Drosophila melanogaster: one gene and its partner. The gene in region 1 interacts genetically with each later gene. Each region holds a gene or a part of one and is shown on either strand. Other genes may lie near its edges.

Region 1 (5,207 bases):
AAAAAATGGCAATTTGTACGCTTTGCCTTTTTCTCCGCTTCTTGCTCAATCGTATGTCTCACACGCGCTTCTAATGTCTGGATACGATACATAAGCTCGTTCAAGATGATGGCATATAAAAAGCTACACGAGTTTTTCAATTGACTTGGAAAGTGGCAAGCGACTGCCAGCATGCATCAAATGGATCGAGCCCCAGCGAAAAGTGGGCGTGATGGGCAACAACAATGGCTCACTGTTTTTTGGCTCTCGGCTTTGCCACACTTTTGATGAATTAGCCGTTTTTTTTCCATCGAGTGTCGGGGCTTGGAAAATTGAGTTGCAGCTGCAGCTTATGATGGAAGTGGTTGGCAGGGAGCGAGGAAGTTCGTTGAGCCGGATCATACCCAGCTGAGACTCATTAAAACACCACTTGAACCACGATTCGTGTTACACCGCCTCTAAGTGCAGGTCAATAAGTGGAGTTGTTGTCTGATTTTCAAGTCCAAGCCAGTTTATGCCTTTGTGCGATGCTATGGGAGAGAAATGGCTGGAAGAGCTTGATTGATGGGGATTCTCAAGCAGGGTAATTGATTTACTTATAAATAAAATAAAAATACTTCCCATACCGGGAATCGAACCCGGGCCTTCTGGGTGAAAGCCAGATATCCTAGCCACTAGACCATATGGGATATGTTCTACTTTCTTCCAAGTTATATAAACGTTTTTGTAGTTTTTCCTTGTTAAAAATGGTGCACGTACTTTATAAGGAATTTTATGCCTTGTTCATTTTTAAATTTATAAATAGAAAATATACAGTGGTGACTTTAAAACATGTCCTAAGAGGCAGACTAAGGACACACTTTAGTCACCTTCCAGACAAGTCCCATATTGTCTAGTGGTTAGGATATCCGGCTCTCACCCGGAAGGCCCGGGTTCGATTCCCGGTATGGGAAACTTTTTTGCCTAATTTCGCTTTTTTTTTATTTGTTACCATCAGAGGGTTAATAATTTTGGGCTTTGTTAAAGGGGTTGACTGACCATTATACAGAGGTGGTCAAAAGTATTTCCACAACGAGCTTTTTTTTTCAATTAGTTGACAATGGTTATTAGTTGACAATTGAAAAAAAAAGCTCGTTGTTCAAATACTTTTGACCACCTCTGTATATGTTTTCATTCCATATCTTAATTTTCTTGTATTAATAGTTTTTCCTGGGTTAAGCAAAATAAACAAATAAACACAAGGCATTCATTCATGTTGGCGAACAAAACGAGTCTTTGCTACAACACAGATAGCCTCCCATATGGTCTAGTGGCTAGGATATCTGGCTTTCACCCAGAAGGCCCGGGTTCGATTCCCGGTATGGGAAGAGTACTTTTTTTTTACTGCTTAAAATAATTGATAATTGATTTTCCACATATATTGAGCAGTCTTCAAGTCTATTGCTTTCGGTAATTGTATGTATTTATGTTTGTTTTTGCTTTTCTAGTGTGCTTTATTTCTTTGCAATTGCCTAGCGCCACCAATTGATGCCAATCGGACACGCTACGAAATAATTCGAGACTTTTTTATGGCCGTTGCTTTTCGTTGCCCCAAGTTGTCAATTGTTGATGTTTGTGCTTATGTAGAAAGAAATAAGAGAAAAGAAAAAGGAGGGAAAACGGTTTTGTTAACGACGGGCAAAAGCTCAAAGAGCCAGAGTACTTAACTTTTGTTAAACCGAAAATTAGGCATGCCCAGAATTGCAACATGTACTGGAAGCAACAGCAACAACGACAATAGCCTGCCGCAAAACGTGTGGCAAGCGAATAGCAGCAACAATAAAACGGGCACAATGCCTTGACTGAGTTTTGAACGTTTTTTTTAGTTTCTTTTTTTTGTAGTAGATACGGAAAATTGCTTTTTCATTGTTGCAGTAACCAATTTTTGGCTGTTATTGTTGTTATTTACAAGCTGACTTGGCAAACGGAAAATCAATTTTTAATTGCAACAAATTTGAGAGAGCTGCGGGACAGGCAAATTGCGAGTTGGCCAAAAAAGGCAAATTAAAGTAAGCGTTAACGAAAAACAATTGGCATTTTGAGTCAGAAACGGGTTTAACGGTATCGCAGAGGCAGCTGCAGTATCTTTTGAGGAAACACGCCGCCACATGTCAAAGGGGGACAGCAACAATATGTCAAAATCTCGATGAGCAGAGCAATGAACCGTTGTAATTAGCATACGTCCGCGTGCGTGCGTGTAACAGAGAGCACAATAGAGGCACTTTCGATTATTGAACTTGTTAAATTCCGCATTTCTCTGTTTGCGCTCGGTGCTTAGATTGTTTATTATTTGGTATTACGCTTATTCTTTTGCTTTGGTTGCTTACCTGGAAATGATCTCTTTCCTTTGGTGCCTAACCGAAAAACAAGCGAACAATTAATTTCATTAGAAGTATCTAACAAATGCGAATCCAACATGAGATATAGTAAAACAAGAAATAAGTGTGAGCAAATAAGATAAGCAACGCCGCGTGGGGAAAGAGAGAGAGAGAGAGCTGTTGGTGAGAGCGAGAACGACGCGAGTTGTTGGCGGAAACTCCTGTCGCAGCAAGCAGCAGCAACAACAACTACAGAACGGCGACAATTACGGCGCTTTATTGATTTTTTACAAAACAACTATTCGAACACGAAGCGTGCCGTTTGCATTTGAAACTCGGTTTTCAGCTTATATCGAGATTATTTAATGCACAACAAAACGGAGCACAAAAGAATTTCGCACACCAGCACAAGTTTTAAGCACTCACACACACACACATACGAAGCGACTTCAATGTCAACTTCACTTTTTGTATTTTTATCTACTGCTTCGCTATTTTTGGTTTTCTTTAGCAGTATTTAGTACTTTGAATTTAGTATTTAACTGCACTTTATTACCCGTCAGTCTGCACGCATCCGTGCGCTCGTTGGTCGAGAAACAAATTATTCAACCGCCACTTTGCTTTTGGCCAAGCGCGCTTTTCCCACAGCTGTTTTACTTAAGCGATAAAACGCAGCGACAACTATCAGTCGCCTGGCTATCGATTTGACCCAGGGAGGGGAGCAACTAGCTCTGCCAATCGAACTGGTTCCGAGCCGAAATTCAAAAATGTCATCGGTAAGATAACGTGTTTAGCTACATCCCTTTGGACATGTTTTCTACATGTTGACTTACATTTTACATTATATTTAATTTTATTAGCTTGGCGGTTAGTTTTGAATATAAATTGAAGGTAAAAAGGTATAGACCAGTTTTTTCTATTCTTGTTTACCAGATGATATATCGCACCACAATTGTTCGCTCTTTTAATGCTCATACTCATAAAATATATTGCTCTTTAATATTATAATATTTTATTCTGCATTTAGGTTCTTAAGTTTCGTATTTTTTTTAGCTTTTTACCGATGCTCAACCCGAATTTCTGTGTCGCCGCCGGAAGCAGTGATTCACATTGGGCTTGACACCCTGACATCGATTGTTCCAAGCCACCCAGGCGGAGAATCCTTGCTGTTTCCTGATGTACTTCGCACAGGCAATGGAATACCGGATATCGTCGCTCAACAGCAGGCGGCAGGGCAAGCGACACAGATCGTTGGATGGACGACCATCCGCCGGCTTGCACCAGTAACGATCGTTGATCTGGAAGAGACCCCAGTCCACGGATCCATCAACGTTCGAGGGATTGATGGCTTTTGTGTTGAACGAGCTCTCGCCCTCCACGAGGCACAGCCAATCGGGTAGCTCGTTGTAAGCCATTCCGTATCGATACAGCTGCCGGGCCAAACTGCATCTGCCCACCTGGCGGCCAGTGGCCAGTGATAGCGTTAAGAGCACCAGCAGCCAAATGGGCCACATCTTCCAGAAACAATGCAGGCTTCTAATGGTAACTCGTGGCTTATATAGCCATCCAGTTTGCTGCGAGATTCGGAGCACAACTTGGCCCAATCTAATTTTTACAAGCACTCATTTGGACAGCTCTGAAGTGTGGCCCACACTCGAGCATAAATTATCAACACTAGGCGACAAAGATTGGAAGTCATAACCATCTCCAATTCTTTTATTTTGTTGGAGCTATTTCGGAAAGGCTATTGCTCTGAGAAATCAGTAGATATATGGTTATTTTAGGGTGTAGAACTAAAACTACAATTCTCTAACTTAACTTAAATCCCAAACATGCAGATGAGTGTCAGACTTTCAATTCTCGATCATTGAAACAGGCCGATCGGGCCAGTTTCGTTAATATATGGAGTGGGAATCGCTCGCCATTTAAGCGAGGCATCTGCCTGGCCCCAGATTCACTTTCAATGGGTTCTTTTGTGCGATGCTCAGGTATTATATAACCATGTTGACAGCTGGAGGGGCCGGAGCACTTGAGATCGCGTGTGCGCCAACAATCGAACAAAAACCCCGAGAGAGCAAAGTCATTCAACTTTTGGACAACTTGTCGTTCTTTCTTTGTTTTTGTTTAACGTAAAAAATTAGTACAAAAATATGCAATAAAAATGGCATGTGTTGATACTATGTTTATCCCAAACGAATCTCCTCCATTTCCTGAGCGGGCGGCTGCTTGATCTCCTGTTCCGTTGGCGGCACATATCCCTGTCTCGGCAGGAATTGCCTCTTCCTGGATGTGGGACGTATAACGATGTGTGCTACGCATGTGCAAATGGCGGCTATGGCAAAGTATTTGAAGCTCTCTCGTCCGCCCAGGCTTTTGAACATAAGTCCGCCGATTAGGGATCCGATGGAGAAGCCAAGTCCATCGTCCATGCCGGCCATCAATCCTTGAACGGTGGCCGATGTTCCCGGAGGAGCCACCGCCGAGGCGTAGGCCACAATGCACGTATAGCACAGAGCATAGGTAATGCCCTGGAAAAAGAGCTCCACGCCCACCAGATACCAGGGATTGGGAATCCAGGCGATCAGCGACAGTCGCACAGCGTAGAAGAAAAAGCACATGCTCATGCAATGAACATAGCCCAGTTTTTTGATAATCTTTCCGCTGTAGAAGAAAAAGGGCACCTCGCCGGCCAGACACTCGGCGGCCACCACTAGACCTTCGATCAACTTGATCTGATGCATGTAACCAGTGGCCTCGGCCACCTGCTCCAAGTGCCAGAACATAAAGTATATGATGAAGGAGTCAATGATGCCAGCCATTGTGGCGAAGAACAGAAAGACCAGAATGGGTGGCTTGCGCACCAATTGCCAA
Region 2 (7,894 bases), on another chromosome or scaffold:
CCGTATCCCTCCTCGTCGTCGCTGTTGCCTCCTTGTTGCTGTCGCCCGAATTTGTGCGACCGCGTGGACATGCTGAGGTCCTTGGTCACCGAGGTATCGTAGTTGCACTTGGGGCATGGAATTGGCTTGTTCTTGTCGTACTTGAAGCCCTTGCGACGCACGTGATCCTCGCAGTAACAGGTCTTGCAGCGCAGGCAGGAGTATTGACCCAGCTTGTTGCACGATTGACACTTGTAGTTCTCCGACTCCAGCACCTGGAACCGAATGGATTGCATTACCAAAAGGCGTCATATGAATCTCAAAATGAAGTTCGGAACAAGCTTAATGAGTATTTTTGGTTACCCACCTGACAGCTGGCCTGGTGCTCGAACTGATCGTCCTCGCACAGGAATCCGTTGCAGAAGGAGCACTTGAAGATGCGCCCACCGTGCTCCCAGACACCGCGTTCGCACTCCAGGCAGGTCGCATTCTGCAGCGGACACGTGCAGGCGTGGTTTTGGAGACACTTGCGTCCGTGGCAAACCCAAGCCTCGCAGAAGTCGCAGATGGCGCCCACCATTCCGAGGCCCGTGGTGTAGACGCCCGGATGTTTGACCACGCAGTCGCCGGTCTTTAGCATGCACTTGATTTTCCCGCACTGGGCGCAAATGGGTAATCTCTGAATGCTCTGGCAGAAATAGCAGAAGGCTCTCGACTTCTGCTTCTTCTCGCACTTGTCGCACTCCATTGGTGCATTGCAGGGCAAATCCGCAAGAGGCACCTCTCTGCTGCGGATCTCCTTGAGGCGAAGCTTCTGCTTCTCGGCCTTCTTACGCTGCCCAGTCTTCTTTTTCGGCATTTTTGAAATCAAGGAATTAGAAAACTTATTTCCTTACGTGTGCGGCAGTGTGGCTGCTGCGGGTGCGCCGAAAAATACCACAAAAAGCTTTCGAATATTCCGCTAAATATGTAGCTACATCTTGAAAATAGCTACAAAAAATGCGTTAAATTAGCATCGTGGAGTTAGCGGCGACGGCGGAGCCGAGTAATTTAACACATCATTTTTCTGGCCAGCGTGCATTTTGGAATATGCTCTGCGAGTGGAGATATTCCTTGAAAAGTAGCTAGCCGATTTTTTTATTGCATATTTTATATACTTTCTGAGTCCTATAAACTTTAGTCGTACATAGATAGTTAGATCTCTTAAATAGTTCGATTTATTAAGATTTTTGCATTTGTATTTTTTTTGGAATTTACCTATAAATAGCGAAAAATTAAATAAATAAATAAGATTCTCATTTTCCATATTTCACCGTTCTGCCATAGACGCTAATTTGACCCACATAGATTTTCAGTGGAAACAAGTGGAAGCAACAACCGATTAGTGTAACCAAATACCTTTGCTTTTATTTAGGTCTAGTATTTTTGTAAGGTCTGTCTACGGCTTTCCTTTCCACAGGAAAATATATTTTCAGTTTTAGGGAAGGGGTGCTACAGTGAGCGTCTTTCGTTCCCAGTGTCGTTATTTCTATAGTATTGCTGAGATATATATCAGAGCAGTAAAGATATTTAAATATAAGTTCTTCGAAATGGGTGGTCACGACAACTGGAACAATGGTCAAAATGAGGAGCAAGATGTAAGTAGCACACAAAACCGCGACTGCACAGGGAAAAAACTCAGTTCGGCCATAATCCCAATATATATATATTTTGGTGATCAACGCGCTTTTACCCATGCGGCAACTAAAGTTGATGTGCTAAAGCATTTCGTTGCGGTTTTGTTACTTAAGACTAAGACTAACAGTAGTTGTATCTTAATAGTGCTAGGGAGTACGATGCTGTCGGTATTGGTTTCTCTTTTAGCTTTTTAGTGCAAAAGGCGTGATCAAGAATACACATGTTACACACATTTTTTAAGGCATGGTGAAAAGAAACAGGGCAGATATTGTAAAAGTATTGTATTGACAAGGGTGTCTGTCAACTTATCGTTATCGTTCTAGGTAGTATCGAATAGGTGCTGGGTTTAATCGGGTTGTAGAAACGGTCACACTGTATTCAGTTTTTTCATTCGTCTCGTGTGTCAGGGGACTTTCTCCATTTGCAATAGCAAAAAAAATAGTTAGATTAGAAGTTGTTCAACTTTTGCATTAGTAAAATGGTGAACTCGAACCAGAACCAGAACGGCAACTCCAATGGCCATGATGATGTAAGTAGTGGATATTAAGGGTCTAGAAATTTCCTGTAAGCTGGTGTCTCGCCTTGCCGGTCGCCATTTTGAAAATTACGCATGTGTCTCAAGGGCGGAAAGTGAGGTTATGGCCATTGATAAAATCAATAATTTAGGACTTTCCTCAGGACTCCATCACCGAGCCGGAGCATATGCGCAAGCTGTTCATCGGTGGCTTGGACTACCGTACCACCGACGAGAACCTAAAGGCTCACTTCGAGAAATGGGGCAACATCGTGGACGTGGTGGTCATGAAGGATCCGCGCACAAAGCGTTCCCGCGGATTCGGATTCATCACCTATTCCCACTCGAGCATGATTGATGAGGCCCAAAAGTCGCGTCCCCACAAGATCGACGGTCGAGTGGTGGAGCCCAAGCGCGCCGTTCCCCGTCAGGACATTGATTCCCCGAATGCCGGAGCCACCGTAAAGAAACTCTTTGTTGGCGCCCTCAAGGACGACCATGATGAGCAGAGCATCCGCGACTACTTCCAGCACTTTGGCAACATCGTCGACATCAACATAGTCATTGACAAGGAGACTGGCAAGAAACGCGGATTCGCCTTCGTCGAGTTCGACGACTACGATCCCGTGGACAAAGTTGTGTGTAAGTACAACGCTTTTCCTAATCTAGACAATATCAAATATCCTTTAAGAATGATTTATCTCTTCGAGAGTAGACTGTTAGGAAAATCACATTGCCATGTTCTTAGATTTATACAATACAGATTGAATTATCTGCACAGGAAACGAATATTAACCCCATTTGTGTACGCGGCGTTCGTGTAGAAAAAAAGTATGACATGCAACCACCCCTAATCTATATGCTCAATCAGCTCTGGCACATTGTAGGGCTTCTCGTAAATGTCCATCAGCGTCGGATAAACGAATGCGCACTATAAGCAAGAAATTTCGATAAAATTGCAATTATTACAATATATCCACAGTCCCAGCTCCGCATAGCAATGTTCGATGTGCTTGTGCGGCGTTTGTGACTGTAAGAATAAATTCCAGCCAGTATTATATCATTGTTGTTGGTGCTCTTCGTGCATCAACGATGAAAGAGTATATGGCACACTATAGCTTGAATCTAAAACTGTTTCCTAATATCACAGTACTGACAAATTAACTGGTTTGAAACCATCACCAGGGTAGTTTTTTTTTAAACGCTGTGAGATGAATTAAAGCGTCGGCTAAGCTATGTTATGCGAATGTAAGCATTGCGCCTATTCAGTGTAACACGCAGCCTCGTTACAATAGTTCAATTAATTGCTATTATGGAAATCGATACACAGTCCCAGCTCCGCATAGCAATGTTCGATGTGCTCATGCGGCGTTTGTGACTGTAAGATAAAAGACCCAGCCCATATTATATCGTGTTGTTGGCGCTGTTCGTGCATCAACGATGAAAGAGTATAAGGCACAATATCACATTGAATTACCAACTATATGAAAAGAATGAGTATCTAAATGCCTTCGCTTACTTGAATATACTGACAAATCCACAGAATGGTGAATGTTATTTAGCGTGAATATATCTCCTAAAATTAGCTACGATTCCACAGTCCCAGCTCCGCACAGCAATGTTCGATGTGCTCGTGCGGCGTTTGTGACTGTTAGAATAAATTCCAGCCAGTATTATATCATTGTTGTTGGTGCTCTTCGTGCATCAACGATGAAAGAGTATAAGGCACACCTTGATTATCGAACCGATTAAACAGAAAGTTTCTAGATCAGCCCCTTCGTGGACGTCACAGTACTGACAAATTGACGGGCTTGAAAAAGTCGCCTGTATGGTTTTTATTTAAACGCTGTGAGATTAATTTAAGCGTCGGCTAAGCTATGTGATGCGAATGTATATTATAAATCAATTCTGTGTAACACGCAGCCTCGTTACAACTGCAAATCAAATGCACCGAAATGGTGAATGTGTACTATCCGATATCGATCCTAATTTTAGCTAAAATTCCACAGTCCCAGCTCCGCATAGCAATGTTCGATGTGCTCGTGCGGCGTTTGTGACTGTAAGATGAAATCCCAGCCAGTATTATATTGTTGTTGTTGGTGGTGTTTGTGCACCAATGATGAAAGAGTATATGGCACACTATCCTCCGGATGCACCACATAGGGAAGTTCATTTTCGAATACCACTAATAGCATGCTTTCCCTCTTTATTTTTGCAGTGCAAAAGCAGCATCAGCTGAATGGCAAAATGGTGGACGTAAAGAAGGCCTTGCCCAAGCAGAATGACCAACAGGGAGGTGGCGGAGGACGCGGTGGTCCGGGTGGTCGTGCCGGTGGAAACCGCGGAAACATGGGCGGTGGAAACTACGGCAACCAGAATGGTGGCGGCAACTGGGTAAGAACTTATTGATCGCCATCAATTCGATTTGAGGCTTATTACTGGTTAATTGGCATTGCAGAACAACGGTGGCAACAACTGGGGCAACAACCGCGGGGGTAACGACAACTGGGGCAACAACAGCTTCGGTGGTGGCGGCGGCGGCGGTGGTGGTTATGGCGGTGGCAACAACAGCTGGGGCAATAACAATCCGTGGGACAATGGCAATGGAGGCGGCAACTTTGGAGGCGGCGGCAACAATTGGAACAATGGTGGCAATGATTTTGGAGGCTACCAGCAGAACTATGGCGGCGGTCCGCAGCGAGGTGGCGGCAACTTCAACAACAATCGCATGCAGCCCTACCAAGGAGGTGGTGGATTCAAAGCAGGTGAGCAACAGCACGTCTGTTGATGCATTACTGATAACAACTAGATAGCAAGACACAGTACCCTGACACCTAACTGTTAGAGCGTCGATAGAGTTTGGCAGTTAGCTTATTAAACGCTGTGAGATCAACTGACGATGGCCTTCGCTATGTTATGCGTATGTAAGATAATCCCAGTACGACGTAACACGCAGCCACGTTACAGTTTTTTCATGAACAGTCACCACCAGTATAGAAACTAGACTAGAAAGACGATTGGATATGTTCCTAACGATCCTGGGTTTTCTTTTAGGCGGTGGCAATCAAGGCAACTATGGCGGAAACAATCAGGGCTTCAATAACGGTGGCAACAACCGCAGATATTGAGAGAGATTCCGGACGAGGTGAGACATCCAAATAACCACTACTAACACAAAAATATACATAGTCCAAGGCGAATTCAGGCCATAACTAACCGCTTATCTATCCCGTATGACCATTAATCTTTCGCTTGATTTGACAAACATATGTTGTGTGTTTTTTTTTTTTTATAATAGCGCCCTTATCGGCATTTTTGGTAGTTTATAAAGCATATTGAGACTAAAAAGCAAAACGGCTGAGACAGTCCGACCCACCTTACTCAACAAACTTATATACGTATTTACACTTTTAAGTATTTAGAGAACAAAAACCCATCAACCAATTAAGAACTCCTTTTCATACCAATTGTTTTAAATAACGTTTCTCATTTATCGACATTTTATAGGTGATAAAGTAAAAGTCGCTCAGTATAATCCCAAAATTCAAAGTCAAGTAAACGATACGCAATTCAATGATCAATATGATGAAGTATGAACGCACGTTCATAGTCCTAAGAAGTTTTCCGAGCACCACAAACCAAACATTACAGATTGATTGATCAGGATCAGTGCAGTGCAGTGAAGTCGTAAGAAGTTTGGTTCAGTCTTGGATTAGAACAGAAAGAGAGATCAGTACCAAGCAAGACCAGACCAATACAGAGTGCAGTGCAGTGCAGAGCAGTGTGTGAGCTAAACAGAAGAAACACAGCAAGTGGCAGTACACGTACACAGAAGGTGACCAGGATTCCATTCAATTTGTCTTTGCAAGCGATGATAAATTGAATGTCAAGAGGCGCATCGAAAACTATCCAATACCCACAGAATTGTAATCTATAATTTGCAACCCATATGTAGCAGCCCATATAAGTAACATTGTAATTAGATCCACAAAGCCGACGACAGGCCAAACATTTGTATCTCCACCACACGAGCAACCAACCAACCAACCTACTTAAAACAACCAGTCATAAACGAATCAGCTATGTAAAACTTCAAGGCGGCAGCCGAGAGATATGTTTCTTTGGTTGCAGACAGCTCTCCAGTCCATCGGCTGCCGGCAACTTTTGATAATCAGAGCAGAAAACACAAAATATATAAAAACATGTATTACATTTTACAACTTTACTAGGCTAAGTTCTCATAGAATTAAATCGAGTAGAGCGTGCGGAGCGACTTCTGCATCCATCCGCACGCTACCCTAGTCTTAATAATTTTACTATTCAAGTTCTAAGCGAACCTGACCGTGTGTGGAGGAATCTAGATACTTAGATTTTTGAATAAGTGTCGACATGGATATAACCTCTTCCGCTGCTTAGATGTAACCGATCAACAAACAACCTTTATTGTAATTTATACCTTTTAGCAAGCAGTCTGTCTGAGGAGTCAGCGCAATTATACTTAACAAAATTTACATTTTAATGTAGCTAAAAAATACAAGATGCAAAAAAAAAAAATAAGCAAGTGTCCCGCAATTGATGTAAACTCTGACGAAAGAACAAAAAGTATATAGCTAAGCCAAAGCCTCGTAGTTTTCTATATTTCTGTAGCAGCATCAGCAAAAGGATCTCGATCAGAATGAGAGTGTATTGCAGAGGTAACAAGGTGCAGCAAGTCTGACCAGGTCCAAAAGCCAGCCAAGAATATGTACTTTACTATAGCATTTGTTGTGGGCGGGCCATTAACGTCGTTCGAGAGTTCTCCTTTCACTCGCTTAACAGGAATCATTTTCCCCTTTTATTTGATTTGCCCCCCGCCTGCTGTACCATGTCATTTACAACCATGTATATTATTGTAATTTCTGTTGCCAGTTGGCTGCGAAAAGTATGCGAAGCGCTGAAAGACTGCCGCCGCGCTACTGAATGCAGCCACGGAAGGTGCCCGCGTTTGCTAGCAACTCCGGTCGCTGGGTTTCGGTTCCCTCTGGGTAAGTAATCCTCCGCAGATCCCAAATCCGGAAAAAGTTGTAACTTTCAGGTGGTCTGAATCGGCTCGTCGCACCTGAGGATGGAATGGATGTTGAACGGTTTCCCCTCTGCACCATCGTAAATATACGACTTTTATTTATTACTTCATTTTATTTTCATTATTACTATCTTTGAATAAAGAAATTTCAGAATACCAAACAAAATGATTTTCGTTTCATTTTGAATTAAAATTTCACCAGTGGGGGAAAATAACGGTATTTGAACAATAATGGCGTTGCGAATGTAACGTGATTGGCGTAAAATCGCAAATTCCGTTTTATATAGTTGAATGATTTTCAAAGCATTCATTTTGTTGCATTTAATGTTAAATTTTAATTAGTCCACTGAAAATAATAAATCATGATAAATGAGCACTGTGTCTGTCACTTTGTTGTTGGTTTGAGTCTTCTCTAAGTGGTGAATAAGTTTTCTGCGATATATTTAAGCGGTCGCAATACGGTCATACTAATTGCATTTCTTTTAGGCAGGGGGCGTTAACTTGCGAATTAATGACTATAACTAACTAAAACACCGACTAAGGACCTCTGAAATGGACTCTACTGCCACTCGCACGCTGCCCTTTGTGTACAAGTATAAAAATCATAAAGGCCAAGACTGCGAATCCCGGCTGGACATCACTTTTCCCTTTGACCAGGAAAA

What was found.
Region 2: of mrj (region 1) and Hrb98DE, changing one suppresses a phenotype caused by changing the other (phenotypic suppression), as found in Drosophila melanogaster (one study listed by BioGRID).

What each region holds. Positions count from the first base shown.
Region 1 is NT_033778.4:16,218,778-16,223,984, forward strand, and holds the start of mrj (mrj), read right to left. Parts: upstream 3,017-5,207; 5' UTR 2,893-3,016; exon of another isoform or gene 2,859-2,892; intron 2,373-2,858; 5' UTR 2,346-2,372; intron 1,347-2,345; exon of another isoform or gene 1,275-1,346; intron 933-1,274; exon of another isoform or gene 861-932; intron 669-860; exon of another isoform or gene 597-668; intron 1-596. Other genes in the region: CG7798 (uncharacterized protein), read right to left, coding at 3,404-3,850; CG15706 (uncharacterized protein), read right to left, coding at 4,520-5,207.
Region 2 is NT_033777.3:28,598,384-28,606,277, forward strand, and holds Hrb98DE (heterogeneous nuclear ribonucleoprotein at 98DE), read left to right. Parts: upstream 1-2,023; 5' UTR 2,024-2,134; coding exon 2,135-2,185; intron 2,186-2,322; coding exon 2,323-2,812; intron 2,813-3,145; exon of another isoform or gene 3,146-3,285; intron 3,286-3,314; exon of another isoform or gene 3,315-3,464; intron 3,465-3,493; exon of another isoform or gene 3,494-3,633; intron 3,634-3,763; exon of another isoform or gene 3,764-3,903; intron 3,904-3,956; exon of another isoform or gene 3,957-4,106; intron 4,107-4,172; exon of another isoform or gene 4,173-4,312; intron 4,313-4,388; coding exon 4,389-4,564; intron 4,565-4,628; coding exon 4,629-4,935; intron 4,936-4,987; exon of another isoform or gene 4,988-5,139; intron 5,140-5,224; coding exon 5,225-5,298; 3' UTR 5,299-5,315; intron 5,316-5,677; exon of another isoform or gene 5,678-6,712; intron 6,713-7,078; 3' UTR 7,079-7,394; downstream 7,395-7,894. Other genes in the region: Noa36, read right to left, coding at 1-254, 347-838; CG9986 (uncharacterized protein), read left to right, coding at 7,785-7,894. UniProt on the Drosophila melanogaster protein: This protein is a component of ribonucleosomes.